Macaca mulatta: one gene and its partners. The protein of the gene in region 7 interacts with the protein of the main gene of each other region in a pairwise test. Links are inferred from orthologs where the notes say so. Each region holds a gene or a part of one and is shown on either strand. Other genes may lie near its edges.

Region 1 (4,108 bases), on a different chromosome or scaffold from region 7:
GGGGTTACACCCGCCACGACGCCCGGCTAATTTTTTTGTATTTTTAGTAGAGACGGGGTTTCACCGTGTTAGCCAGGATGGTCTCGATCTCCTGACCTCATGATCCGCCCACCTTGGCCTCCCAAAGTGCTGGGATTACAGGCGTAAGCCACCGCGCCAGGCCTTTTTTTTTTTTTTTCTTGGAGACGGAGTCTCCCTCTGTCACCCGGGCTGGAGTGCAAGGCTTGAGCGTGGCTCACTGCAACCTCCACCATCCTGGATCAAGCGATTCTCCTGCCTCAGCCTCCCGAGTAGCTGGGATTACAGGTGTGCGCCACCACACCGGGCTAATTTTTGTATTTTTAGCGGAGAAGGAGTTTCACCATGTTGGCCAGGCTGGTCTTGAACTCCTGACCTCAGGTAATCCACCCGCCTCGGCCTTCCAAAGTGCTGGGATTACAGGCATGAGCCACCGCGCCTGGCCAAAATCATTTGTTTGCTGAACGATGTGAAGAATATGAGTGAACAAAAAAAGTACTGAAAAAGATGAGTTGATGGCAAAGGGAGGGAATTAATGTTTAGTGCACACTTAAGTGGCGAGTAATGTTCAGAGCATTATATAAACTGTCTCATTTAATCTAACAAGAACCTTTTGAGGTCAATACGTTTTCCCAATTTATAGAGGAGGAAACTAAGATTTATAAGGATCTCATGAATCAGAGAACTCTTAAGTGGCATCACTGGACTTTCGAAAGGAAGTCTGCCTGATGGACTCTAAGGCTCATCCTCTGTCTATCCTCCTAATGCATATAATGACGCATTTGTTATCTACTGACTTTTATAAAATAAACAAGGAGGCTTATGCGATTGTACAGCCCGAGTTCGCAGGAGGTATCTGTTACCACTTTTGATCTGATTCCGGAAGCATTAACAGTGAGGTGCCCTGATCTTTATGTAATTAGCGCATATGATATGGGTATCATTTGTTGTGAAAGACACTAACTCATGATGTTTCTGTTTACGTGTATCTGTAAATATAGTAATTTCTGTAGTTGGTTAATTTTTAGTTACGAAAAAATGAACCAAGATGTAGTCAAGATTTGGCTTAAATGTTGAACGCATAATTACCAAAGAAAATTAAATAATGAGCTTTGTGACACCTTTCAGTTTCGCCAACAGACTGATAAAACCAGTACAAAGGGGGAGGGTCGGGACCGAGGGGGCGGGACGGTGAGAAACGGGAATCGAGCAAGCGCAGAAACAAACAGATGTTAATGGAGGCGTGAAGGCTACTGCGCTCTCACTTTCCGAACTGTCGTAAAGGCCCCTAGTGTCGTGCTCTCCTCGGTAGGGGAGGAATTGGTTAGGCGGCGGCGGCGGCGGTAGGGGAGCAGCGGCAGTGGCGGCGACGGCGAGGAGGTGTTCGGTCTGCGCAGCGTAGAAACGCCCGCAGCTTCAGAGAAGGAGTTCTTGTGGGACCAAATTAGGCATTCTGAACCCACGCCGGCTTAGCTGGGCCGAGTCCAGGCGCTGCCGCACGTACAGTTTTGGTGGCGGTGACAGACACTGCTCTTGACTCTAGGGGCCTGTTAGGCCGACGTCTGAGGCGCAGATCGCTGGCTCTCGACGCATTACTCTTTACGCCTTACATTTCTGTCTTCCTTCCTGGGTCAGTGATTCCCGGACCCTGGAAGAGAAGAGGGTGGCTAATGATTAAGGTGAGGGGAACAGGGGGGAGGGGATCCATTGGAGGCCGCGCGTGCGCGCAACGGGGGAGGGGCCGGCCTGGAGGGGAGAAAGAGGAAGGGCTGCGGCCGCGGAAGGCTGGGGTCGGCGACCGGCCGGTTATCTCTGGCTCAGTGGTGATTTAGGGTCTGGGTCTCCGCAGACGATTTGTGTTTGGGCAAGGCTTTCGTCTACCGACACACCCACAGCCTACATTGAGGAAGTGTGGGTGAGGGGATTTCTCTCCCTCTTCCGACTCTCCCTAGAGTCTCAGGATGGGGGCTGAGGACCGAGGCGTAGGAGTGCGATTTGACAATGGAGTGATGAAGGTAACCCGGACCCGGGGAGTTGGGGGGCGCTAAGTCAGCCCTGACGGCTAGGGAGCCGCCTGCTGCTGCTGTGATCAAGGAAACGTAGTCCGCGGAACAGCTGAAATACAGACGCGTCTGATTTTGTATGGAGTTGTCTTGTTGGTCATTTAAAAAGAAGCTGAATGTTTTTACTATTGTCCTTAGATAATTTATCAGAGACAGTGTCAGTGCTGTAGTGGGAATATCTGTTCAGTGCAGCAGAAATAGATTTGTCACAACAGTTCTTAAATAGGTTATAGTAGATGTTTACAGAGGGTATTTCTCAACCCAAGTGTAAGTTTTGATTATTCAAAAAATACCAGGAAGTATAGGGTATTGATTTAATTTGTTCATGTGTATAGTGTGGGGTGACTCCATTGTATTGTTGTAAGCTTTCCTGTTTTTTGATTTATGTGCGGCATTAATTTAGAATTCTCTTGAATGGTAAGATGCCAACTGACATAGACTACGTTTTGTAGGAGTTCCTGTAGCTTTTGAACCTGACAATCTAAACTTTATTTCATTTGGTATTTTATTTATAATTTTCTTGTTTTAGAGGCCTCTTCAACTAAAAAGAACAAACTGGGAAAAGATAAGCTAAGGTTCCATTTCCTTTCTCATTTTTGTTTTTTTTTGTGTGTGTGTGTGTGATGCTTGTAAATGCTTGAATGTGATTTTGAGATTACCATACACAAGTTCTGTAACACTGGACTTAGCTTTATTACAGTAAAGATACACCTTTTGATCGTTTGTTACTGTATGTATTTTTGTAAAAATCTTCATGTCAATATAAGCCACATTGTTTCACCCTAGTCTGGTTATGTTTGTGAGGTAAAACAGATGGATAAGAAGGAGGTCCTTTTACTTTTAAAATAATTTTATGTTGATTTTTTTTTAAAGCCTTGATATTTATCTTATTTTGGACACTTTCTTGCCATTTAACCTTGGACAAATGACTATCATCTCTCTCCTGCTCATTTGTTTGTGACCAAAGATTCACAATAGTATTCTAAGAATTGATGAGGGTGTTTGTAAATTGGTCTAAATAATATTATAGGAAAAAGTAGGAAGAGTGAGTCTCCCCTTGTTTATCACGAGTGCTATATCATGTGCAGATCCTTCTGTCACTTTTTAACTTTGTTTGGTGTCTGTTGGCCACATGTTTGCTAGTTATTTCACCTGACATAGAATTGGTTTTTAAAGAAAGATATAAACAAAGTGACTCCATTTTGGTGAAAAATGCATTACAAAAGAGGTTACACCTTAACGAATTTCACTGTGGTACTCCGTTTCTACAGATTATTGAGAGAGAGCTATTCTGATGTTTAAGAGAACAGCACCTTGCTTGTATAAAGCTAAGGTATAGTCATTTAGCAGATACTCCTAGTTATTTTACTTTAAAATAAAAAATATAAAAGAAACTAATTGAATCAAACCGTTTAGATTTTTAGATGCTTTTGTTGTTGTTGTTGTTATAGTTTAAAGAGGGGTTTCTGTATTATGCTTTTCTTGAGGCATACTTATGTGCCCTTCTTTTGCCTTTTTCTCCCCTTTTGGGCTAAGACTTCAGTAGGAAATAAAAGAGACTATCTGAAAAATGATAGAAGTTAAAATATGTTATAACCTGACATTAACATTCTATGGGTAACATTATCTTATGAAATAATATAGGACTAGAGACAGAAGATCTCGATTTTAGATCTATCTTTGCTTGCTATACATTAGATCCCCGAGTTTATTGTTAACCCTCCTTGGGCTTCAGGTCTCTCTGTTTAAGTGAGAATTGTAGAATAGATAACTGGTTTTCTCTAGGTCCCAAATCTAACGGTTTGTATATCTAGTTAGGTTTTTGGTATTCGTTGTTTTATTCGTCGTAATCAAATCCCCGGAAAGAAATGCTGTACAGAAAGCATCAATTTCCTCATGAAATGTGTGTGTGTAAAACCTATGATGAAACTGAGGGCCAGGTGTGGTGGCTGACCCCTGTAATCCCAGCATTTTGGGAGGCCAAGGCGAGTGGATCACTTGAGGTCAGGAGTTCGAGACCACACTGG
Region 2 (4,111 bases), on a different chromosome or scaffold from region 7:
GCGTGAGCCACTGCCCCGGCTTGGTTTGTTTTTTGAGACAGGGTCTCGCTCCGTCGCACAGGATGGAGTGCAGTAGCGCGATCTTGGCTCCTGTGCTCAAGTGATCCTCCCACCTCAGCCTCCCAAAGTGCTGAAATTACAGGCGTGAGCCACGGTACCCGGCCTATATCTCCTAATTAAAAGTAAAGCCTGGGGTAAACTGGATGAAGTTTACGGCCTGTTAAATACATACATGTATTATATGCGTTATTATATCCCATGTGTTACATTATATATTATTGTATATGTGTATTATATACTATGTACTATTCTTACAACTGTATGCAAATCTATAATTACCTCAAAGTAAAGTTTTGTTTTTGTTTTTTAAAGTAAGTTCTGTGAGAACTGGGATTTTGTTTGCTTGTTGACAGTTGTGTCTCCATCACCAGAACTGAGTCTGGCGTGCAGTGGGCACGAAATAAGTCTTCGAAAAAAGTGTGAATTAATGCCCGGCTAATTTTTGCATTGTTAGCAGAGACGGGGTTTCATCATGTTGGCCAGGCTGGTCTCGAACTCCTGACCTCAAGCGATCCACCTGCCTCGGCCTACCCAAAGTGTTGGAATTACAGGCGTGAGCCACCGCGCCCGGCTGATCACATTTAAAGGGCGGGATGGGGAGAGTACAAACAACAGAGGAAATCCTGAGCCGCAGAGGAAACTGGAGACGGCAGGGTTTAGCACTAGAATATCTGTAAGAGAGGTAGGATCGGAATCTGAATCTCCAGAACTCTTTCCACTACCCAGGCTCTCTCTCCATTAATGGACTATTGATTGGACGACAGAGTAATGATAGCACCGTCTTAGGAGACGTCCAATCATAGGTCATAGTTCAATCTTTGCAGCTTATTGTGATTACAACAGTGGAGGATGGTCCTTACAAGCGGCTGTTCTCTGATTACCATTAAGCATGGCCACGCCCGCACTTAACTTCTGACAGTGGGGAAAGAGGCTGTGTGTGACAGCTTGGAAGGTTTACTACTGCCTCAAGTCCTCTTCTCTGCAGTTGAGGTTTCAGGTTTCAATCCTCCCAATACCACAAGACAAAGCACCTGGCGGCTGCCGCCTCCGCCTCCGCGCCTTAACCTAGGCGGTTTGCCGAAGATTTCAGCCCCGCGGCCGCGCACTCGCCCTGCCCTAGACCAGGGTTGGGCGCATCGGCGGAGGTTGCTTCTTGGCTGCGCGAGCTGCGCGCGCTGGGAGGCGGCGATCGCAGCTGGGCCGGGACTTCCTTCCTCCACCGCACGACAACAAAACAACCCTGCAGCAGGCACTGAGTGCTTGGCAGCTGTCTGGGCGAGAGGCACAGCGATGGGCTCCGTGCTGAGCAGCGACAGCGGCAAATCGGCTCCCCCCTCTGCCACCCCGCGGGCCCTGGAGCGCAGGGGGGACCCGCAGTTGCCCGTCACGTCCTTCGATTGCGCCGTGTGCCTTGAGGTGTTACACCAGCCTGTCCGGACCCGCTGTGGCCACGTGTAAGTGCCAGGGGAGCTCGGTTTGGGCCCACCCCTAAGGAGGGCGATGTCGGGAAGCTGAGGGCATGGTGTGGGGAAGGAGGGGGACGGAAGACAGCGCCTTAGGAAACTGCTGCAGAGAGAAACCTGGACCCGTCGGGTGCGGGGCCACGGGGAAAACGCCGGTCGGAAGGTGACACAGGATTTCGGGAGGAGAAAAAAGAAACAATCGGGCCCTGCAGCCCCCTTGCGCTGCCTCCTCCCGAAGTCCAGGTGCGGAGCTCCAGAGAAGGGGATCCAGGCACGGGTCCCGCCCAGAGCCAGGGCTCGCCAACAGGGGAGGGTGCTCTTGGCTGGAGAACGAGCGCTCGCCCGGGCACGAAAAAGAAACGAGCTCCAACTGCAAGGCAGGGGCTCCCTCAAAGCGCAGGTACCCCGCTGAACACGGTGGAACAGGCTGCGCTTCCCTCTGCCCCAGAAACCCGGGTCCGTTTTGTTTTGCTGGAGCTGTGCACGTGTTCCCAGAATGCCCACAGAGGCTCGTCTTAAGCAAACAAGGGTCTGTGCAAAGTGTTTTTCCACCCCCACCCCTGCTACCCTTTCCCAACACAGACACCCATCCCCTCAAAGAGCAAGTCAAACTGGAGCTTCCGAGTGACTTTCCACAAGTCGTTAGAGTTTAACAACCTGCTAGGGTGGGGCTTGGACGTTAGCCGCAAGCCCCTGAATGTACTCCTCCAAAACCCAGCCACAACGTGACAGGAGGTGGCAGACTACCTGCTTTACACGCCGTCTCTCCAAACCGGCAGAAATTACAGAGTAAAATAACTTTCTCAAAACGGCATAGTACTTAGCTAAAACTCACAGTTGGTGCAAAGCCGTGGTCGTTTCTAAGAAGAGTTTAAAAACAAAGTTCCTATATAAAATTGGCACATGCTTAATGTGTGCTTGAGTAACTGGTGGAGTTGGATCTGTGAATTCGTGCTCTCTGTTTACTTTGTGTGTGTGTGTGTGTGTGTGTGTGTGTGTGTGTGTGTGTGTGTGTGTATGAGAGAGAGAGATAGAGAGATAGTCTGACTCTGTCGCCCAGGCTGGAGTGCGGTGGCGGTGGCAGGATCTCGGCTTACTGCAACCTCCACCCACTGCAACCTCTGTCTCCCCGCCTCAAGTGATCCTCCTGCCTCAGCCTCCCGAGTTGCTGGGATTACAGGCGCCCACGACCACACCCTACTAGTTTTTGAATTTTGAGTAGAGATGGGGTTTCACCATGTTGGCCAGGCTGGTCTTGAACTCCTGACCTCAATTGATCCACCCACCTCGGCCTTCCAAAGTGTTGGGATTAAAGGTGTGAGACACTGCACCCAGCCTTCTCTCTTTGGTTTGAATTTTGTTCGTGGATGTGTGTGTGTGTGTGTGTCTGCACGGATCAGAAGCGGAAGCCTACTTAATGTCCTTTGAAGGGTGACTATAGTATGATGAAGCCCTGTGTGATACCACAGTGGCATGTACTTGTATTTGGCTTAGCAGGAAGAAAGAAATGCATTTGGCTTAGCAGGAAGAAAGAAATAGCATTATTGCTTCTGAGGATCACTTTTGAAAGGATTTAGGTAGTCCTTAAAAACATGTTGTGCACTTGCATTCAGAAGTTTTGAGGCCGGGCATGGTGGCTCACACCTGGAATCCTTAGGTGATACTTAATACCTATAGCCTTGTATCTGAAAAGCAGTTTTCACCACTGCCCACCTGTGAGCCAGGGAAAAAAGTGTGCAGCCTGCACAATGTATAAATAAAGAGTGCTTTGGGCATTATTTCGTAGCTGTATTTTCGAGGCCTGTTGTTTCAGCTTTGTTCTTAAAACTCGAGGCTTAAATTTACCCTCCTTTCTGATTACTAATATTGTTGCTCAGCTGTCCAGATGTAGCTCATTAACGTAATATCCACAGGCCAATCTGGAAGCCAAGATGGGCTGTGTGAGTCATAAAATATATTGATTATTTTAGGGCAATAACAGCCTAAAGATACCTCCATTTAAATTGAATCATTATTAGCATTAAAACTTTGAAGTTGTGCAAAACATAAACAGTGGGCATTTTGAAGATTCTTTTTGGAATAGACCGCTTTGCTGCTAATTCAATTATCTGACTGGAGATTGTTTTCCTGTTTTGGACTTTGAATAGTATAACTTACCATTTACAATATTTTTCCTTCTACTAAAGGATAATGTAAGTTTGCAAAATGTTAAATTTTTTGTTTAATCTTTTTCTTTGTTAAAGTGAATAGGAAACTAGCAACTGGAAAAATAACCATAAAATAGCATTACAAGGGCTGAACAAATTGCCTTTCCTCTCTTTACTGTTCTTTGTTTTGACAAATCTATGTCCATTGTTCTAGCTGTGGGCAGAATTTCCATATTCCTCCTTTTGGCAAACTTACTTGGGCCCCTTCCACTTTATAAATGTTAACCAGAGTCTTTTCTGCTGTAGAGATTATGAGCGTTGTTAATGCCATTTGTACATTCTAAATGAATTACTCTTTTCCATTGAAATTAAGTTGGAAAATGAATAAATGCAAATGAACCTTCTGTATTTTATTATCCCATATTGAAGCTACAGTTTCAG
Region 3 (4,079 bases), on a different chromosome or scaffold from region 7:
CAGCCTGGGAGATAGAGTGAGTACCTGTCTCAAAAAAACAAACAAAAAAAGAATAAAAATAAAACACTTAAATTAGTGAATAACCTTGGTGAAAATCCACGTCCATGCTTCTACAGCATTTCTCTTCAAAGCTAAAAAAAAAAAGAAAAAATCAAAAATCAACCCAAAGGTGTGGGTAGAAGACTCCATCTGCGACCGTATTTAAGCATCAGTCATGCCGTTAAAGGAGAAAGTGGACATCCTCTCAAGGAAACTTTAATCCTGTCCCCAAAGGATTAAAATCCTATAACAAATATTTGTTTATAACACATCTTGACAAGATCAAAACATTCTGGTGGGGCAAATAGTAAAGACTAAATCTTGAACATTGACGAAAACTTCCTGAAAAGCCCAATGTATTTGACAGGAGAGGTGGCTGGGGTCCCGGGCCTAGGGAGGCAGGGCGGGGAGGCGCAGGTGTCACCGCGGGCGCCCAGCTGCTTATGTCACAACCCGCAGAAGGTGCCACGCGCCGGTTGCTATAGAGGCCGCGCTTCACACCCCGTCCCAGCTCCCAGGCGCTCCCGCGTTCGGTGACGGCCGAGTAGGCTGTAGGCAGCGCGATGCCAAGAGAGAGCTGCTGGCGGGGGCGGGCGAATCTCCCTACACCATGAGCCTCGGGTCCGGCCCCGTTTGGGGCCGATAAGCACAGCGCAGGCCGCCCTCCATTTGCCCCGGGGCCTCGGCTGCGAAGGTAGTGGCGGCCGGACAGGAAGCCCGAGGAAAGCGCAGGGCCGCGTCTCTACGAACACGTGAAGGAAAAGCAGCTCCGTCCACAGCACCGCTTCGGGGCTCCTAGGTGAGGGTCCCCCCGGCGGAAGCGTGGAGGGGCCGGGGTGCCGGGAAGCGAGGCGGGGAGGAAGTCGCGGACACGACCTGGGGGCTCGGGGCTCGGGGTCGGGGTGAGGAGAAGAGCGGGAAAACGGTGAAAAGGAAGACCTTGGGCGAAGACGACGGCTGAGGGCGGAGCGACAGCCCGCGCCTGGAGCTCGGTGAGGGCGTGGCCTGGGGCGTGAGGCCGCGGCCTGGGGGCGAGCCGGGCGGGCCCACGGCACGCTGCAAGCCCAGCCTCCCGCCAAGCACCGCCCCCATCCAGCCCCTGTGGGAGGAGCCGTGGGAGGGGTCGCCTCTTGCCCGGCGCGTGCGGCAGTCGCGTCTCTGCGTTCGGCCCCGCCCTACCCAGGGCCCCGCCCCCTTCCTGGAGCGCGCCGCATCCTGACGCGATCCCCCTCCCCCCTCCGGGTTCGCGTAGGGAGTCGGGCCCCGGGCCGCCACCGTCACCTCGGCCGCTGCCGCTGTCGCCATCGCCTTGTTTCCCCATCCCCCGCCATGGCCGAGGACCTCTCCGCGGCCACGTCCTACACCGAAGATGATTTCTACTGCCCCGTCTGTCAGGAGGTGCTCAAAACGCCCGTGCGGACCGCGGCCTGTCAGCACGTGTGAGTAGACGCCCCCTCCCCCGCGCGGAGCCGGGTTGTTGCTTAGGCCCGGCCTCCGGCCCGGGACCCCCGGCTGCCGCCTGGCGGGAACCGAGCCCGCCGCGGCCTGCTCGAGCGTCGCTGCCCCCCGAGGTCCCGTTCCCTGCCCCTCAGAGCCCCGGGCCGCCCTCCTCCTTAGCCTCGGGGCCCGCTCTGCGCGTCCTGCCCCCTCAGCCCGAGCTCCCGCTCTCCCGCTCTCCCTGGCTTTCGCGCCCCCGGGGCAGTGGCCAGGCCGTTCCCTGCGGCGTCTTCAGGCCCCGGAGGCCCCTGTAGTCTCCGCCAGGCCCGGGAGGAATTGCAGGGAACTTGGAGCCTTTTTGTTTCTTAGCAACCCGGGTGAAGGTTGGGGTGTCGAGTGTCAAAAGCGGCCGGCGGTGCCCACGCGGGCCCGCTCGCCCCGCGACCTGCCCAGCTTTCAAGTTTCCTCTTTCAGAACCTTGGTGCGTCCCCTCGGTCCAAGAGCTCTTCTGTAACTTCCCCTCAACCCTGCTTCACAGAACACCCTCCAGAGCGTTTTGTTTCGTTTCCAGTCCACTGTGTGTTAGAGGGATCTAGAATGAGTTTTCTTCTCTGGTCTGTGAAAACCGACAGGATTTTCGGGCATGGAAGTGAGCGTTCCCCTTTGTTTTACCTTTCTGCTTATTACTTGATTAATACAAGGGTGGAGAGGAGAAAGGCAGACTTCTGTTACGAGGAATGGGCCGAAAGTGAAATGCTCCCCAGGGTGGGGGAGAGCACAAAGGGGTTGGGTGAGATAACGCGTGCGTTTGATTGGCAGGCATATTTACAAGAACTTTGATAAGATTTTATGGACGGCTAGGGTGTGAGTAAGGGTTGGAAAGCGCCCTTCTTGAAAAGGTGTATAGCCCTTCTGACAGACCTGACTGATGATCAGAGTCCCCCGGGAGCTTTTTAAGTAAACATACCAATTCCCAGGCTCCATTCCAAACTTACAAAAGAATTTTTGGGCAGGTGGGGCCTGGAAATCTTTATTTTTAAAAAATACACTCAGGCTTGAAAGTTACGTGTGCTTGCAAACAACCGAAAAGAATTGACTAACCTTCTAAATGTATTTCATTCTCTTTCCACTTTTTTTTTTTTTTTTTGAGGTAAGGCTCTATAATTTTGTAAAGGATGGATTGAATTTTTGGGTCTTAATTGCAAATGCCCTTACTCTGGTTGTTTTCTTGATACCAACTCTTCTCATTTTGTTCCCCAATCTTAACTGCACTGTCTACTTTATTTCTATTTTGTGCTGGTTGTGTGAGCCAAGAGTGTGTGGATTTTCATGATAGAGATTATGCCAGTTACGCTTTCGCTCTTTAAGGGAGATGAATGACATCTTATTATTTTGTGCAACAAATGCAGATTCTTAGAGAAATGTTTTGAGGGATCCTTTTGTAGTTCATAATGTGATGATTGAGTGTTCACAGGCATGTGTGAGATGTGCCACCCTCAAACCTTGTTACAAGGTCAACACATTACCCATTTGACATGAAAAAAAAGGTTTGGAGGTGTCTAGGGCACAATATAGATCTTTCACCTTTAATCTAGCATAACTTGGTCCCTTTCCAATATATAAAAAAATTTAAGTGCTGTGTTGGCAGTGGGTAGATAAAAGGGAGGGAGGAGGGCAAGGTGAGAGGAAGTTGTAATAGCTGCTAACTGTATATATACAAAGCAGGTATTTTTTTTAGATAGAATCATTCTAATTATCCTTTGGGTCATTGACCTCATGGGCCTCATTGTAATTTCTTAGCACTCCCCAAAATTCCGTGTAGATTGCTCTAGTCCACTTCCCTTGTGGGACATTTTAAATCAAGGACTATAATTTGGTTTGACCTCAAGACTGTGGAAAATGTTGGAGATGATTGTATTTAATTCAGGACCTTTCTCAAATCAACTCATTATGCTTAGACAGTTCTGCCTGAACAATGAATTAAAGAATAGGCAGAGGGAGAAAAAAGTTTAATTTGGAAGAGGTGGTAATGGAGGAACAGGATCTTAATCAGTTGGAGTTTAGTGGGGGAATTGGAGAGAATTTTTAAAAATTATTATTTTTTCGAGACATGGTCTTGCTCTGTTGTCCAGGGTGGAGTGCAGTGGTGTGATCACGTTTCATTGCAGCCTTGACTTCCCCCGTTCAAGCAACCATCCCGCCTCAGCCTCTCAAGTTGCTGGGACTACAGGAGCATGCCACCATGCCTGGCTAATTTTGTTTTCTTTTTTATAGAGACAGGGCCTCACTATGTTGCCCAGTCAGGTCTTGAACTCCCAGGCTGAAGTCATTCTCTGCCTTGGCCTCCTGCCGTGGCCTCCCAAAGTGCTGGGATTACAGGCATGAGACATGGCGCCTGACCTATTTTTTAAGTAACATAGTTATCTATGTCATTTACCCTGCCTTCTTCACAAAGGACAGACCTGTGCCTTTAAAGAAATTTATATTTGGCTACAAAATCAATTTTTGATTCATGAATAGAGAGTTGAAATGATAAGGACTTTGGGTTACTGTGGATCAGTTAGAAAATGAAAAATTTTAATTGCCATTTCAATGACAGTACA
Region 4 (4,223 bases), on a different chromosome or scaffold from region 7:
TAGGACATTTTCCCCCCAGAAATCCACTTGGCTAGAGATGTCATCTCACTTGAGGTTTTTCCAGACATCCTATTTTAAATGGTGGTTCTGTCATTGTCTGTCACGTATTCTTCTTATTCTTCTTTCTAGCAGGTATGACTGGCAGACATTTTATTATATATCTATTTGTTTATTAATATTGTCTGTTTCTCTCACTAGAAGGTGCCATCCCCAGAAGCAGAGTCTGCCATGTTCCTGGCTGCCTCCCCAGCTCCTATAACAGTGCCTGGAACACATTAAGCAGTGGATATCTATTGTTGAATGAATCTTGTCATCATTCAAGTTGCAGGCCAAACGTCACCTCCTCAGTCAAGTTGTCTCTGATTTCTGGTTAGAAGTAGCACCAGGCTAGGCGCAGTAATTCATGACTGTAATCCCAGCACTTTGGGAGGCCAAGGCGGGCAGATCGCTTGAGCCCAGAAGTTTGAGAACAGCCTGGGCAACATAGTGAGACTCCGTTTCTACCAAAAAAAAAAAAAAAATTGGCTGGGTGTAGTGGCACCTGTAGTCCTAGCTACTCAGGAGGCTGAGGTGAGAGGATCGCTCGAGCCCAGGAGGTCAACGCTGCAGTGAGCCATGATTATGCCACTGTACTCCAGCCTAGGTGATAAAGTGAGACTCTGTCTTGTTGGGGGAAAAAAGAAGTAACACCACCCCCATCTTCCCTTTGCTCGCCCTAGCCCTGTTTCTCTCCAAATAAATAAAATGGTTCTAATTATTTCACTTGCCTACTGTCTTTCTGTGCATGCCCTGGGCCCCAATATGAGCCGCCTGAGAGCAGGGACCTTGTCTGTTGTGTTCGTCTCTGTGTCCAGTGCCTAAAACAGTGCCTGGCTCCCATGTATGTGCCCAGCACATGGGTGTTGGATCAATAATACATGAGGCTGGTGACTGGAGAGGAGGCGCAGGTACAGCCAGCTCCTTCTTTCAATACTCACCTTTTCGAGACAGGAATCCACAGCATTAGGAATATGTCCTTCATGTTGATGCGTATCACTAGACGGTGTTTCTGCTTGTGACTGTGTCAGTGAAGAAATTTGAGGTCTCATGTTCTTCTTTATTGAATTTTCAGTGGGTACCAGGAAAATGGGCACAGGTTCGTTGTCAACAAGCATTTGGTGTTCTCCTTTTTTCAACACTCTCTCCTTAGCTTCAGCGGAAACATTAAACACACACATATACATACATAAAAATGGGAGAGATTTCAAGTAATCCTGTCATTCCTGTGTCTGTACCCTGCCCCAGCACCTCCCAGTAAGGCTGCTCACTGCACCCCGGAATGGTGGGTTGGCGATGGAGGAAATTGGGGAGCTATTAAGAGTTCTGAAGTGTGCAGATTAAGTTTTACTATAGAAGTGAAAGCTTAACGACAATGGAACATTGTCCACTCATTAAACGTCATGTTTCTGAAACTGTCTCCAGTCTCCCCTTTCTTCCTTCCTTCTTTATTTCCCTCCCTCCCTTTTTGTTTTTTTGTTTTGTTTTGTTTTTTGAGACGGAGTCTCACTCTGTCACCCAGGCTGGAGTGCAATGGTGCGACCTCGTCTCACTGCAACTCTCTGCCTCCCGAGTTCAAGCGATTCTCCTGCCTCAGCCTCCGGAGTAGCTTGGATTACAGGTGCACACCACCACACTCAGGTAATTTTTGTATTCTTAGTAGAGACGGAATTTCGCCATGTTGGCCAGGCTGGTCTTGAACTCCTGGCCTCAAGTGATCCACCAACCTCGGCCTCCAAAGTGCTAGGATTATAGGCGTGAGCCACCGCACCCATCCTGGTCTCCCATTTCAATACTCATTATACAGGTAAGTTACAGCAGCAAGTATCAAAAGTGCAGACTCCGAATTGTGTAAATACACGTGTGTTTGCTGGCATTCGTAAAAAAGGGCAGGAAGAAAATACACCAAATGGACACATTGTTTATCTCCAGGTTGTTTTCTTTTTTACTCTTTTCTCTTATTTCTATAGTGAGCATATATCACTTTTGTAATCCTCAAAAATACAAAATGGAACATCCTTTTGTTAATGGATGGAACAATGGAACCATTATTTAAAACATAAAAGTGGAATCCCTGAATGACAAGGACGGCAGCTGACAGGCATCTGGAGGATGGAAGATGACAGCTGAGAAATTAAGTTAGAATGAGGATATGGAAAACATCCACACTAAGGCGGGGTTAGCCGGATCCGCACCGGGCACATGTGAGGCCCTGTCCTCCACCGAGTGTTCCCTGTCTCAGTGAGTCTCTTGGCAGCAGGGCCCCGTCCCTGTCCGCCACCGCACAGTGGCATACTTTCTTCCGCCCTCTCCCCTAGGTCAGCTGGAACTGGCTCCGCCTGGAAACCCGGGAGTCGGGACCCCAGAGACGGCTTTCGGCTTTCGCAGCCCGACCGCCCGAAGCTCACCTGCCCTTTCACTGAACTCCACCCGGAAGGTGCCCGGGGCTTCGTGTTCCTGGGGCCTGACCGTGCACTCTCCGCCGCCCGAGGACTTAGAGCTCTGGAAGTAGCTCTCCAGCTTCCGTTGTACCCGGAGGCCGGACCCGGACACCCGCACGAGGAGCGGGGACGGCGGGCGCAGGTCGGAGGCCATGGCTCTGCGCGTCGGGAGGGCGCGGGGGCTCCGGGACGCCGCTGGGCCGGGACTGGGATAAAGGCGCGGCCCGCCCCGCCGACTAGGCGCAAAGTTTCAGTTTCGCTTCCCCGGAGGTCCCTCCCTGTTCCCAGCAGAGCTGCTTCCCCCTCTTCCCTGTGCTGTCTGCACCGAGGCGAGTGGTCTGCCGGGTGGGTAGGTCCGGTGCCCCTGGGCCCTCGGGGTCCCCTTTCCTGCAGGCTCGGGGTACGGGGGGGCGGAGAGTGGGGGCGGGCGCGGACCGGGATCCCAGGGCCAGGCCTCCCTTATGAGTAGACTATGCAAAGAAAGTAAGTTTCTCCTGTGTTTCTTATTCTTTGTAACTCTTACTGCTGTTATCACTATTATTTGATGCTAAAAAGTAATTCACATCTGAATCCATGTTAAACTTACCCATTTTTGAAAATTTGAATGTGTTCATCTGGTAATTGTGACCTGTTACCCCTTCCCTCCCTCCGACTCTACCCTTTAGACAGGCTCCTGGGGGCTTTTCTCCTCCATTGCTTGATTTAACCAACAGCACTGAATTGTTTCTTGCTGCCCAAAGAGCAGAGCAAGGCCCTGATGTCAAGGGCTGGTGAGGGGAGGCGGACCTGTGAACCAGGGAGCAAAACTTCTTCAAGGCCTCCAAGGAGAAGTTTCAAGCAGCATCTTAATAAACTGAGTGTGGCGACGAGATGGGGAGGACAGGGTTGGGGGGAAAAGCACCTAAGGCTTAGGGACCACTATGGTCTGAAGCACAGAGTGGGCCTGGGGCCTGGGAGGAGAGGAGATGGGTGAGGGGATGAGGGAGGGAGGGCCTACCTAGATGGGCACTGTCCAACAGAGATACAATGTGAGCCAGTATGTTCATTCTAAAATTTTTGCAGCCATATTTTTTAAAGGATAAAGAAACGGATGAAATTAATTGTAATGATGTTATTTAACTTGACATATCCAAAACTTAATCATTTCAGCACATAATGAGCTTTTTACATTCTTTTTATCATACTGCATCTTTGCAACCCAGTGTTTTTCTTACACTTACATCACATCTCGATTCAGACTGGCCACATGTAGCCTCAGTAGCTACGTGAGGCTGATAGTCCACCCTGGACAGCACATATTTAGATGGTGAAAAGCTTTGAAGAGCAGTGAAGATGACTTGAAGGGTTGTAAGCAGGGAAAGCAAGAAAATGACTTGCCAGATATGCATTTTAGAAATATGGTGCTGACAATGGTGTGGAAGACACATTTACAAGCAGGGATGACTGGCGGCAGAGAGGACAGAGATAAGGTTTTTGCACATGGCTGGTAAGACTGGAAATGGGTCAGTCTTCACTGTGAGCAATTTGGCAGTACTGTCAGAATTACAACAGCATATGCTTTTTGATTCTGGAGTTCCATTTCTAGGGATTTGTCCCATTGATATATTAGCCCCTGTGTGAAGTGACCTGTGTACAAAGATGTTCTTTACAGCCTTGTTTACAATGGCAAAAGATAGGTAACTCTTTAATGTCCATAAATAGGGGGACCAGCAGTTTAATAATAATAATATATCTATACAATGGAAT
Region 5 (3,500 bases), about 120 Mb from region 7:
TTGTGGAGAACTGCCTAGACAAAAGAAAGAGGGGTTTGGACTCCTGGGGCAGTAATTTTTGGAATGTATGGTAGATAAGGTTTGTTTAGTAAGATCATTTTGCAAGATCATCTCCATGCAGTCTTCAGTGTTTAAGAGACTTCTCTTCCTGGCTCCGGAGAGAGAGGCACCTTTACAAATGGACATTTCCTTTACAAAAGAGAAATTTATGCCCCGCTTTTAGGCAGATGGGGAAGGGCAGAGAGGTCCTCTTCTGTCTGTTCTTTCTATATAGCTTTCAGCTCAAAATAATCCTTATATCAAAGTGACATATTTTGGTGTGACACAGTCCAACCTCTTCAACTACAATAGTTGGAAAAACATATTCAATTTTAATAAGAATACAAAAGGTAAATATATGTTTAAATATGGTCATGGCTAAAGGCATAAGCAGACATAGCTATATAAAGTATTTATCCCCTAAGTCACCACTGCTTTGAAACCTAGCAAACATACCTCTTTGTACAACACGCCATCTTTTGTTTTGTTTGCGTGGCGAACATGTGAGGATTTTATTGATTTACAAAACAAACAACAGGGAGCTCACTGTACTCCTGTAGCAATAAAGGTTGGCTTATTGGTCATTTTGAGGTCACTAACGTTGACTTCTACCTTAATTTATAACACAATGCTTACGGTGAAAGAGCCAGTAATTGACTTGTTCATACAGATCATTATATATTTTTCTGTTTTGATTTTCTGTCTGACAGCAGCAGCGTGCAGGGTCAAAGACAGCCGGCCCCCCATGTCAGTGGTCTAGGATGGCCAGTGAAGGCACCAACATCCCAAGTCCTGTGGTGCGCCAGATTGACAAGCAGTTTCTGATTTGCAGTATATGCCTGGAACGGTACAAGAATCCCAAGGTTCTCCCCTGTCTGCACACTTTCTGCGAGAGGTAAGCCTCCTTTGTGCTTGGAGAAGGGAGTTTCACAGGCTGACCTCCTACAACCTACTGCAAGATTCTTTCCCAGAATCTACAGTTACCTTTGAGAGAAAACTAATCTCTTGTGCCTTTGCCAGACATTGAAAAACGGAATCATGAGTTGCAAATAATTTACTTTATTTCAAACCATTATAAGCAGGAGAAAGCAATCTAGTAACTACTGATTCATTTACACAAGAGATGGAGCATTAAATAAGAATGTTAAGTTGAAAAATCTTTTAAAACTTCCCTTTGTTCTTTGTGAAACAGTTTTTGTCCACAGCAGATCCCTACAGAGGGTCTTTGAGAGTCAATTAAAAAAATCTATCGTTTCCTCCCATATAACAAATCAGGTAAAACATCTGCATATATGAGTGGTTACTTCAAAGGGTATAGCTTCTTTTCCAAAGATTCTTCAGACACATATTAATGTCACATTTGAATGCTATGATGTTTTAGATAAAGAAAAATATATATATATATTAAATAAATTACCTGACTATGTAATTTGTTATATGTGAAAACAGACTTCCTTATTTATCTTCTTGATAGAGTATTTGCTTTTGGAGAGGGGCGTTAATCAGTTATCAAAATATACTTTTACTCCATTATTTAACTTACTATGTAAGTATAAGTTTGTTAGTAATTAGTTTATCTTACTTATAAGTATTTCCCTAGTGAAGTTATATATCTTTCTTAAAAATAAATATGGTAATTATGTTTTATAGCATTTTGTTAAATACATTTTTATCATTATTTAATATACATACTGAAAATGCTTTACTTCCTATGATAGAACTGGAAATCGGTATTTCAAATGGCTTCAAATCTATGCTGATTACCCAAATATCTGATTTAACATGTCTTTATTATCTGACTGACCATTGTTAGAGTTGATTTACTCTGCAAGGTTCAATTGCAAAAGAATAACCATATCCTTCATGGTGGTGATGGATGGAAGGAGAAGGTAGATTTGTTACTAGTAGTTGTGGCTTTTTGTTTGTTTGGGGTTGTGTGGGGTTTTGTGTGTGTGCGTGTGCTTGCATATATGGGTTTTAGTTTGTTTTAGTGGTGGTATATAGAGCACTTTTTATTTTATTCATTTTATACTTTGGCTTAAGTGCTTGGTAATTCATATTCCAAAAATAATTAGAGTGTGATTCCTCCATCCCCTTAATAGGTACACCTAAAACATGAATACCAGCTAATCGTTCATATGTCCCTGGGCACACATGATAAGATGGTTTCCTGACGTGCAGCAGTCAGCATAGCTTGGCAGACACTCTCCATAGAAGTGCGTTCAGAGCCACTCAGTCTGAGCTTGGCAGAATTGCCCCATATCCCAGGATTCAGTGTCCAGCCTATGTATTGTTTGGGTCCTACTCCCTCACCCTGACAGGTGAGAAGCAACACTCTGGCTGCCCTAGGTCTGCCCCTGCTATCTTCTTCAGGGGTCTAGCCCAACCTACTCCCACTCCCCATCCAATAGCTAGTGGTGGAGATTTGCGAGATCCTGCTACAGCAAGTCCTTACAGAATGCTCTGTGTTAAAATTGTTCCAGCCTCATGCATGTTGAGATGATTTCCTCTTCTTTTATATTTTATTTTATTTATTTATTATTTATTTACTTATTTTGAGACACGATCTCACTCTGTCACTCAGTCTAGAGTGCAGTGGCACAATCACAGTTCACTGCAGCCTCAATTTCCCAGGCTCCAGAGATCTTCCCACCTCACCTTCTTGAGTAGTTGGGACCACAGGTGCACACCACCATGCCTGACTATAGAGACAGGGCTTCTCCATGTTGCCTAGGCTGGTCTCAAACTCCTGAGCTCAAGCAATCCAACTGCCTCGGCCTCCCAAAGTGTTGGGCTTACAGGTGTGAGCCACTGCGTCCAGCTGAGAAGATTTCTGTTTGAAGGTGTTGAAGGTGCTGGCAACTTTCCTTAAAATTTTTGAGACAGAGTCTTGCTCTGTCACCAGGCCAGAGTGCAGTGGCATGATCTCAGCTCACTGCAACTTCCGCCTCCTGGGTTCAAGTGATTCTCTTGCCTCAGCCTTCCGAGTAGCTGGGACTACAGGCATACGCAACCATGCCCAGCTAATTTTTGTATTTTTAGTAGATACGGGGTTTCACTATGTTGGCCAGGACGGTCTCGATCTCTTGACCTCGTGATCTGCCCACATCAGCCTCCCAAAGTACAAGGATTACAGGCATAAGCCACTGCGCCTGGTGAGGAAATTTTTGTTTATGCTGAGACAAAACTTTACAGCTTGTCTCACTGTTGGGAGAGTGAGCTCTAGGACCCCCATGTTCAGCCTCTGCTGGACATTCACACTGGCTACTCAGTGAGCAACTTACAGCCACTCTCTTATCCCACATCTTCCAAAACAGCATCAACGGGCTTGAAGGAGAGCAAAGCCAGACACAGCTGCTGGCCCCTTGGAACTCACAGCCTAGTGGAGGAGCCAGTCATTAACATCCTAATTGCTCAGACTAATGTGAAATTAAACCAGTGACAGTTGCTATACATGAGAA
Region 6 (4,123 bases), on a different chromosome or scaffold from region 7:
TCTAGATGTGGGATAGAAAAGGGGTCCTTTCATTCTAGATTCCAGGGAATGGGGCTGGGGTGAGGCTCAGACTTGGAACTCACCGGCCATCCGCAGTCATGCGGATAAGAGCCACTTCGGCTGGTGTTCCCACAAAGGCACCAGTGGCACCTGCCGTCATGCCAATCAGAGCCTTCAGCAGAAAGCCAGGGGGAGTACCATCAGCCCCAGTCAAGCGCTCAAACAACACGGTATAGATGCCAAGGCGGGTAGTGGTGTAGGTGGCCTGGCGCAGCAGGCCAGCCGACAGCCTGAGGAGCAGAGGGGTCAGCATATCAGGCCAAGGTCTGGAGCTACCAACCCACAGCCTACCCTCCATCCTGAGGCCCCAATACCCGGTGTAAATGCCCCTCAGGCCTTCTGCCTTCAGGATACTGGTGAGGGCATGGAAGCTGGTTTTGTACTCTCGAGTCTTGGCCCCTTCCCCACTCAGCTGCATCCGGTTCTTCACCAGGTCCAGGGGCTGGACAAAAACTGTAGCTCCCATCCTGGGGGAAGATAGAGGTGGAGTGAAGGGATTCACTATTCCAGATCTACCAGTGCCCACTGGAGCCTGGCAGCAAGAGGTTACAAAGGTCAGGGCCTGCCATGCGATTCAAGAATCAGGATGCTGGTGAGCATGTGTATAAGAGTCTATATGTACACCGAGTGCAACGGGTCTGAAAAGTCTAGTTGTCCAGTCGGGGCCATGCAATGCAAGTGCTCCAAGCAGCTTCATGACAGTCAAGCAGTGACCTGGGGCTGCACGCAGTCCGACACAGGGAGGGGACGAAGGGGCATCCAAGATTTAGGACTCCAGGTAGTCCTCCAGGAGCCATTTAATGGCCTGGAATCCCCTGTAGCCCGGCCAAGCTTAGCAATGCGCTGGGAAACTCAGGTGGCCCGGCGGGGATTGTGCAACGACCCCGCATGCAGTCCAGAAGGGGCCTTGCATGGGGCCCTAGCAGCCCATTGGGGAACTCGTAATACGCTGGAGATCACGCTGACCCCGTGCCGGCACAGTTCACTGCAACAGACCCAGAGATGAACCGGGCCCGGTTCCTTGCACCCGTCCCTTCCTCCTCTTTTCCCATCCCTGGGGCCTGAGCTTACCCGGCCAGGCCCCCAAACAGGAACTTGATGGACTTAGGGGAGGTACGGGGCTTCCCGTCCATCCCGCCGGCCCCGGCACTCGCCGTCGCCGCCATCGCCACTCAATGGCCCTCGGCTCCGGGTCCCGTGCGCGCGCGGCCCCGCTCGCGCCCAAGGTGACACCGCGCGCGCAACAGGGCGAGGGCGCGCGCACGCCCCTCCGGCTCTCAGGTCCGGCACCCGCTGGAAGCCAGCGCGGGCGCAGGCGCGCAGCGCAAAGGCGGCCGGGAGTAAGGCGGAGCTGAAGGAGGAGCTTGAGGGAAGCGTGCGAGAAGGGGTGTAACTGATTTAGGAAACCAGAGGAAAGGCGCAGTTTTCACCAAATTGGAATCGCGGGAAAATAGAGATGAGTTTGTCTCAAGGTCTCGCGAGATCGAGTGAGTACGGCTCACCAGAGTAGGAGAGCTCTCGCGATAGACACACCAAGCGTTCAGCAGCGAGGGGACGGGGGAGGTGGGGAGCACTCTCGCGAGATTTGAAGGAGCGGTGGCGGCGGCCAGCGGGAGGAGAGGTTTGTAAACTAGGTGGCTCCAGGTTTCCGGGCACCTTTATTAGGTCGTCTTCTGGGCCACCAGTGCTCCTTCCATCTCCACAGGCACTCCCTCCATCGCTGACCTTTCTTTAACTGGCCTTTTAGGACCGAAAGTTCTTCATCTCAAGCATCAAATGCTGAAAGCGGCCTGACTTTCTCTACCGGAAGCCCTTTTCCAGAGGCTGGGAACACGGCCCACCTGGCAGGAAGTCCCACCTCCTTGAGCTCCGCCACCCTTCCCGAAGTTTTTCTGTCACCTGTGTTAGGCTCCGTCCCCTTTCCCGGTTTTATCCCCGTACCAGAAAAGGATACATTTAGTGCCTCTCACCCAGCTCCACTAAACGGGTTGGATATCTCATTCTTTGAGTCGGGGTTCCTTCCCCGGCGCCTCCATGTAGCTGGGAAGTGGGACCTGGGGGTGGTTGGACCCCTGGGATCCTAAAGGAGGGGCAGGGAGGGCGCAGAACTCCGCTTCTGCTCCTTGCTACCAGGACGAGCGGCCTCCTCAGCCTCTTTCCTCCCGCTGCCATGCACCCTGCAGCCTTCCCGCTTCCTGTGGTTGTGGCCGCTGTGCTGTGGGGAGCGGCCCCCATCCGGGGGCTCATTCGAGCGGTGAGTCCGAGGGACGGAGGAGGCAAGGGCGCTGAAGGGAAGGGTTGCAGGCTGAAGGGGAACATTGCCTTTTTTGTCCGCAGACCTCGGACCACAATGCCAGCATGGACTTTGCAGACCTCCCAGCTCTGTTTGGGGCTACCTTGAGCCAAGAGGGACTCCAGGTGATTTTCTTTCTTTTCTTTCTTCCTCTCCTTCCCCCCCTTTCCTTCCTTTTCTGTCTTTTTTCTTTTTTTAATATTTAGCAAGATCTTCCATCCTGGGCTGGGGTTGGGGAGGTTTGTCCTGGGTGAAACTGGAGGTAGGAAAATCAAGTTAGGAACTGAGCACGTATAGTGTAGAATCCAGAATCCAGAGGGAGAAGACAAAGTGTCCACCCCTGGAACTCCGAGGTTATCAGGGAGACTGAAAGTGGACAGAGACGGAAGGTAGGATCAACGGTCCTTATCAAGAGGGTCTCAGAAGCTGTTGCTTGTATGACCTTGGGCAAGTTAATTTCTCTTTGAGCCTTAGTTTGTTTTACTGTAAAATGGGATATTTTAAGTTTTCCTAGGGTTATTGTGAAGATTAAATTAGATACGCAATTTTTGTAGTACTTCATCCCAAAGACTGCCACATAGCAAGAACTCAGTTGGGCCGTAGTAGCAGTGGAGTTGTTTGTGAGATGGGTAATTAGAAAATTGAAGAGGCCGGGCGCGGTGACTCACATCTGTAATCCCAGTTCAAGACCAGCCTGGCTAACATAGTGAAACCCTATCTCTACTAAAATTACAAACATTAGCTGTGCATGATGGTGCATGACTGTAGTCCCAACTACTTGGGAGACTGAGGGAGGAGAATCACCTGAACCCGGGAGGTGGAGGTTGCAGTGAGTCGAGATCGCACCACTGCACTCCAGCCTGGGTGGCAGAACGAGACTCCATCTCAAAAAAAGAAAAAGAAAATTGAAGGGAAGGGAGTGTGTTCTGTGTAAGTATTGGAGAGGAAACTGTGAAACAGAACTTGAGAGTCAGAACATTAGAAGGCAAAGTAATTGCATTAGCTTGCGGTTTAGGGTACAGATTAGCCCATCTGGGACAGCGAGAGGGATGATGGGAGAGTTTGGTGAAGGGATGTTTTATGTCATTACCTTTTCAAGAGGCTAAGAGAAAGTTGTGAGGTTGCGATGCTCAGACCCCAGGAAGGAGAAGGAAGTGAGGATAGAGGATGTGCAGCATGTGGGCTGGTGTGTTTGGTGGCCCTTGTAGGAGTGAAACCTAGGGAGGAGAAATCTCACTGTTGTTTGCTTCCATCCTTCAGGGGTTCCTTGTGGAGGCTCACCCAGACAATGCCTGCAGCCCCATTGCCCCACCACCCCCAGCCCCGGTCAATGGGTCAGTCTTTATTGCGCTGCTTCGAAGATTCGACTGCAACTTTGACCTCAAGGTTGCTGAATGTGGAGTGGGAGCTGGGCAGCTGAGGGTAAAAAAAGGCACCAGGAATGAAGACAAGTCAGGCCTATGATGGCTCCTTGTCCTCTGCCTTGTCTTCCTAGGTCCTAAATGCCCAGAAGGCTGGATATGGTGCCGCTGTAGTACACAATGTGAATTCCAATGAACTTCTGAACATGGTGTGGAACAGTGGTAAGGCTGGAGGAATCTATACAGCTGGGCTTTCAGTAGGACCCAGAGATGGTGGGAAGGCTGAAGGCTTCAGGAAAAGAAGCCAATCCTTTAGGTGGGTTGGGGCGAAAGTGCCAGATGCCAGGGTTCCCAAAGGATTTGAGTAGAAGGTTGTGAGTCCCCAGAGTAACACCTTGATCCCTGCAGA
Region 7 (4,199 bases):
AAATCACATTCGTATGACACAAAATTAAAAAAATATCTATACCCCATGCCCCAGAGACCCAATTTTTCTACACAGAAAGCAATCAATTTTACCAATTTCTTGTGAAACCTTTTGCCTATAAAGACAAATACACATATTCCCCTCTTTTTAACACAAATGGTGGCTTCTTCCACACTATTCTGCATCTTGCTTTTCACATTTATCTTGTTGGCTGTATTTTAATTAACACACTCTAAGAATGGTCACTTATAATCTCTCATAACCAGAATCCAGTAAGCGTCAGCTATCTTTACAAAGGCACTTACAAGGCCACCCCAAAAAGTCCTTAAATCAACCAGTGTTCTTAGTAAACGCAAGCATACAAGCACATGAAATAAATTTTGGTAAAGTGCAGATTTACCAAAAAAGTGACATGATGAAATATTTATTTGATCAGCCATTCAAAAGACTGGATTTACACCCTTAAAAAGGAAACACACGGACTATACTACAAGTCTTCAATGAGTTGAAAATAATCCACTTATAGAACTGGGGCTACTAAAATATCAAAAAATACTGGCGAAAATAAGCTATTTATTGGTTATATTTATTGCAAGATTAAATGATGTGACTCTTTCCTAAATGTTCTTTGCAACTGATTTTCCCAAAAGAAGTTTCCTTCCATATTTATACAGGTACTGTTCTAAACAACACAAAACAAACAAAAAACCTGTCTGCATTTCCTGTTTTCTTCTTCTGAAACACTTTTGATGCTTATCTGAAGTAAGGCTTCCTCATCCCTTATGTATAAAGAGCAGTGTTTTTTTGTTTGTTTGTTTGTTTGTTTTAACAATATGCATTACTAGAGAGCAATACAAGTATTTCTGGTAATCTTCAACTTAAGTACTACGAATCTCACAGTGAAAAGTGAGCTCATAAAAAGCAAAGAGACCATATTAATTACCAAAGCAGTAACTTACCACTTGTAACAGAAAATAAAGCACTAAAAGTCTATTAAGTTTCAGGCTTGTACAACCTTATTAAACAAGAAATGTTTTAGGTTGTTGGCAACAATATTAGCTGCTATCTTTCATTAGGAGTATGTATGTCAGCTAACCTGGAATACATTTTCATATTAAATAAGTTAAAATTGCTGTTTCACTGTATCAGTACAGACACTTATTGACTCTATTTCTGCGCTGTACCACAAAATACAAAGTCATCCTTCCATTCAGAGTTTTGGCATATGAACACAGAGGTCAGAGTTCATACACATGCTCTGTAAAACCGATCATGACTTACATACTACTACTTTCAATAAGTCTGTTGTCATTTTTGAATTTTAAATAATTTTTCTCCATGTATACTCATCACATATTTAGAATGCTGAATTTCACAAATCATTATTGACACTATCAAAGTACTAACCGTAAAAGAAAAACAAAAATAGCAATGATATATTCAATAATGGTATGTGAATCTTGAAAATAATCATTTTCTGTATTACTTTTTGTTTAATTCATGTGGGGAAGACAATCTGGCATTCTTGTTCATCTTGGTACGACACACTGTACTAATACTTGCATAATTTTGAGTCAAATTACTAGAGCATTGTGAATATCTTACATAAACGTAGTACTAATGTATATAAATTCTGCAGAACTTAAGAGCAATGGCAGGCAATTTTTTTGAAAATCTGTTAAGTCGTGATAAATCTACTCAATAAGGAGATGAAATAATGTATTAATCTGGTGAAATCTCACATTTTTAATAGGTCTACTTTTCAAAAGTAAGAATCAAGTTACCTATGAGGGACATCATAATGAAGTTTCGTGGCACAACACGAGTCACAGAGGCACTGTCTTAGGACAGTCTGATCGGTAACTTGTAAACAATATTTTGAAATAAACTACTCATACAACCCATTATTTTTTTCCTAACTAAAAATATTTACATGTCTTTAATACACCAAACACCTCGCCTTTGCCCACTCAAAAAAGATTGTGATGTCAATAAAAATGAGGCCTACGAATTTGGGGGTTAAGTGGAAGACATAATTATCTCGTTTGGAATAACTTGCTAACTCAGGTGAAAATTCCCTTACCCCCGCCACCAAATAAGACAGTATTCTATTATGTCTCCCTTTGACTCCTAACACCCAACTAAGAAGGACTAACTCTGAATGTCCTTCCTTTCTAATCAATACCTTTGGACTCACCGCTCCTCCCCTACGAAAAGAACAGTGAAGGCCTGACAAGCAATAACCCCAAATACCCTCAAAAGTGTGGGCCTTTGAGCAGCACTGCTCTTCGTATCCAGTTACCACCTTTCCCCTTCCCCCAACCCACTTCCCGGGTTTTCTCAGGCTCGGCCTGCTCCCTCCCCACCCCACAGCCACATTTCCAGCTGTGGCCACCGCCTCGGGTTCTCTCGTGAGCTTCCATCCCTCCGAGGAGCTCCCCCCTGTCCATCAGCTCCCCAAACCGTGTTCCACCCCAGACCACCCGCCCGCGAGACCGTTCATCCTAGCGCTCTGGGAGGGGAGGGGAAGGCGGCGGAAGGAGGAGGGGAACACTGCTGCTTCCTCACAGGCAGAAGGGCGGCCGCAAGGAGGGCCACCCAGGGACTACCGAGGATATCGGGGTCGCAGCTGGGAGGACCCTCCCGCTCCAGGCAGAGATGGGGGATATCCGGGAGTTCATTTCTGACCTCCTCGCTCTTCAGCACCTCCTTGAACTCCCGCTTGATTCGCTGCACCGCGATGTTGGCCATGTCTCCGCCCGCAGCTGATTCGTACCCGCCTCCTCCGCCACCGCTACGACCACCGCCACCGCCGCCACCTCTTCCTCCACCGCCTCCTCCCCCGGCGATTCAGACCCGAGCACACGAACACTGCCACTACCACCCCGGCCGCCGCGCTCGCCTCAGTGTGGAATCACCTCCGCGCCCGGCCACCAAAATGGCGCCGGGTCGGCGCATGCGCACGACGCTGACCCGGCCGGGCGGCGCAGCCGCTCCCGTTGTAGCCCCCATACGCCCGAGCCACGAGCTCGCGTCTCGGCTGGGGCTGCGGCCGCGTGGCTCCGCCCTGCCGGCGTCTGGGGCCGCTAGGGCGCGGCTTCCAAGGTGGCCGGCCGTAGCCTGCCCGCCCGGTCCTACCCGGCGCCTCCGCTCCTGTTTAAACCCAGGTGCTGTGGTCGGGGCTTCCAGCGCTGGCCTCTGACCGAAGGTTCGCGCGCAGCCGAACGGGTTCCCGAAGCCGCACTCGGCTGGAACGCCGCCCTGACTCAGCTAGACCCGGAACCCGGAGGCTGAACGCCGTGTCTAGCGCAGGAAAACGCTCTCGCGGATCTCGGTCCGGCCCATTTTCAGTTGGTGTAGCCCCAGAAAATCCACTGCAGTCGTTTTTGTTCTGCAACATTTATAGTACCACGATTATTCCCATCATCTCAGGTAGCACAGATTATCGAATTAAGGCTGGTTATTGTTGGATCAGATTGGGTTTGAGACAGGTACTCGGTGGAGAGGCCTGAGGGTGGGTTTACAAGTCAGATGTTGATCTTTGACCTATTTAATACCGAGCTTGACACACACACACTCTCTGTCACACACACACACCACACACACACACACTCCTGTGCCCATCCCTAGAGTGTGGAGCGGGCCTAAGACTGCGTTTCTAACAAGTCTCCCAGTTGCTGCTGCTGTTGGTGCTGGTTCGGGGACCACACTATGAGAACCACTGAACTGAAGCGTGTGAAAATTCATATATATTAAATTGAAAACTGGAGAAATAGAAATTATAGTGCCCTTCAGGGGACTGGGATGGGGGAGGGGGAGCCTTATTTCTGTAAACCTAGGCCTACAAAGGTGCTTGGTGATAGTAGGCACTCTATAAATATTGAATGTGTAAATGAGTACAGATAAGAGTAAAACGCTTTTGCTGGCGCGGCGGATCACTTGCAGTCAGGAGTCCGAGACCAGCCTGGCCAACATAGTGAAACCCCGTCTCTACTAAAAATACAAAAATCAGACAGGTGTGGTGGCAGGCGCCTGTAATCCCGGCTATTCTGGAGGCTGAGGCAGGAAAATCGCTTGAACCTGGGGGGCGCAGGTTGCAGTGAGCGAGATCGCGCTACTGCACTACATACAGCCTGGGCCACAGAGCAAGTTTATGTCTCAAACAATACAAAACAAAAAGTATAAAATATTTTAAGTAG

The links.
Region 1: the proteins of UBE2K (region 7) and RNF111 interact in binary tests that used the Homo sapiens proteins (3 or more experiments, as listed by UniProt). The link is inferred for Macaca mulatta from reciprocal best matches to the Homo sapiens genes UBE2K and RNF111.
Region 2: the proteins of UBE2K (region 7) and RNF125 interact in a two-hybrid assay, tested with the Homo sapiens proteins (2 studies listed by BioGRID and IntAct). The link is inferred for Macaca mulatta from reciprocal best matches to the Homo sapiens genes UBE2K and RNF125.
Region 3: the proteins of UBE2K (region 7) and RNF138 interact in binary tests that used the Homo sapiens proteins (3 or more experiments, as listed by UniProt). The link is inferred for Macaca mulatta from reciprocal best matches to the Homo sapiens genes UBE2K and RNF138.
Region 4: the proteins of UBE2K (region 7) and DTX3L interact in binary tests that used the Homo sapiens proteins (3 or more experiments, as listed by UniProt). The link is inferred for Macaca mulatta from reciprocal best matches to the Homo sapiens genes UBE2K and DTX3L.
Region 5: the proteins of UBE2K (region 7) and TRIM2 interact in binary tests that used the Homo sapiens proteins (3 or more experiments, as listed by UniProt). The link is inferred for Macaca mulatta from reciprocal best matches to the Homo sapiens genes UBE2K and TRIM2.
Region 6: the proteins of UBE2K (region 7) and RNF167 interact in binary tests that used the Homo sapiens proteins (3 or more experiments, as listed by UniProt). The link is inferred for Macaca mulatta from reciprocal best matches to the Homo sapiens genes UBE2K and RNF167.

Annotation. Positions count from the first base shown.
Region 1 is NC_133412.1:36,301,860-36,305,967, forward strand, and holds the start of RNF111 (E3 ubiquitin-protein ligase Arkadia), read left to right. Parts: upstream 1-1,308; 5' UTR 1,309-1,697; intron 1,698-1,734; exon of another isoform or gene 1,735-2,033; intron 2,034-4,108. UniProt on the Homo sapiens protein: E3 ubiquitin-protein ligase. Required for mesoderm patterning during embryonic development. Acts as an enhancer of the transcriptional responses of the SMAD2/SMAD3 effectors, which are activated downstream of BMP.
Region 2 is NC_133423.1:60,484,171-60,488,281, reverse strand, and holds the start of RNF125 (E3 ubiquitin-protein ligase RNF125), read left to right. Parts: upstream 1-1,311; 5' UTR 1,312-1,350; coding exon 1,351-1,514; intron 1,515-4,111. UniProt on the Homo sapiens protein: E3 ubiquitin-protein ligase that mediates ubiquitination and subsequent proteasomal degradation of target proteins, such as RIGI, MAVS/IPS1, IFIH1/MDA5, JAK1 and p53/TP53.
Region 3 is NC_133423.1:60,411,823-60,415,901, reverse strand, and holds the start of RNF138 (E3 ubiquitin-protein ligase RNF138), read left to right. Parts: upstream 1-1,279; 5' UTR 1,280-1,368; coding exon 1,369-1,478; intron 1,479-2,019; exon of another isoform or gene 2,020-2,125; intron 2,126-2,909; exon of another isoform or gene 2,910-3,012; intron 3,013-4,079. UniProt on the Homo sapiens protein: E3 ubiquitin-protein ligase involved in DNA damage response by promoting DNA resection and homologous recombination.
Region 4 is NC_133407.1:161,203,460-161,207,682, forward strand, and holds the start of DTX3L (E3 ubiquitin-protein ligase DTX3L), read right to left. Parts: upstream 2,801-4,223; 5' UTR 2,632-2,800; coding exon 2,445-2,631; exon of another isoform or gene 2,222-2,444; intron 1,190-2,221; coding exon 978-1,189; intron 1-977.
Region 5 is NC_133410.1:161,858,927-161,862,426, forward strand, and holds part of TRIM2 (tripartite motif-containing protein 2), read left to right. Parts: intron 1-749; coding exon 750-934; intron 935-3,500. UniProt on the Homo sapiens protein: UBE2D1-dependent E3 ubiquitin-protein ligase that mediates the ubiquitination of NEFL and of phosphorylated BCL2L11. Plays a neuroprotective function. May play a role in neuronal rapid ischemic tolerance.
Region 6 is NC_133421.1:6,490,643-6,494,765, forward strand, and holds the start of RNF167 (E3 ubiquitin-protein ligase RNF167), read left to right. Parts: upstream 1-1,323; 5' UTR 1,324-1,516; coding exon of another isoform or gene 1,517-1,547; intron 1,548-1,632; exon of another isoform or gene 1,633-1,807; 5' UTR 1,808-2,047; intron 2,048-2,094; exon of another isoform or gene 2,095-2,193; 5' UTR 2,194-2,230; coding exon 2,231-2,314; intron 2,315-2,397; coding exon 2,398-2,478; intron 2,479-3,613; coding exon 3,614-3,739; intron 3,740-3,848; coding exon 3,849-3,936; intron 3,937-4,122; coding exon 4,123-4,123. Other genes in the region: SLC25A11 (mitochondrial 2-oxoglutarate/malate carrier protein), read right to left, coding at 84-290, 375-527, 1,132-1,226.
Region 7 is NC_133410.1:38,909,936-38,914,134, reverse strand, and holds the start of UBE2K (ubiquitin-conjugating enzyme E2 K), read right to left. Parts: upstream 2,801-4,199; 5' UTR 2,752-2,800; coding exon 2,689-2,751; intron 1-2,688. UniProt on the Homo sapiens protein: Accepts ubiquitin from the E1 complex and catalyzes its covalent attachment to other proteins. In vitro, in the presence or in the absence of BRCA1-BARD1 E3 ubiquitin-protein ligase complex, catalyzes the synthesis of 'Lys-48'-linked polyubiquitin chains.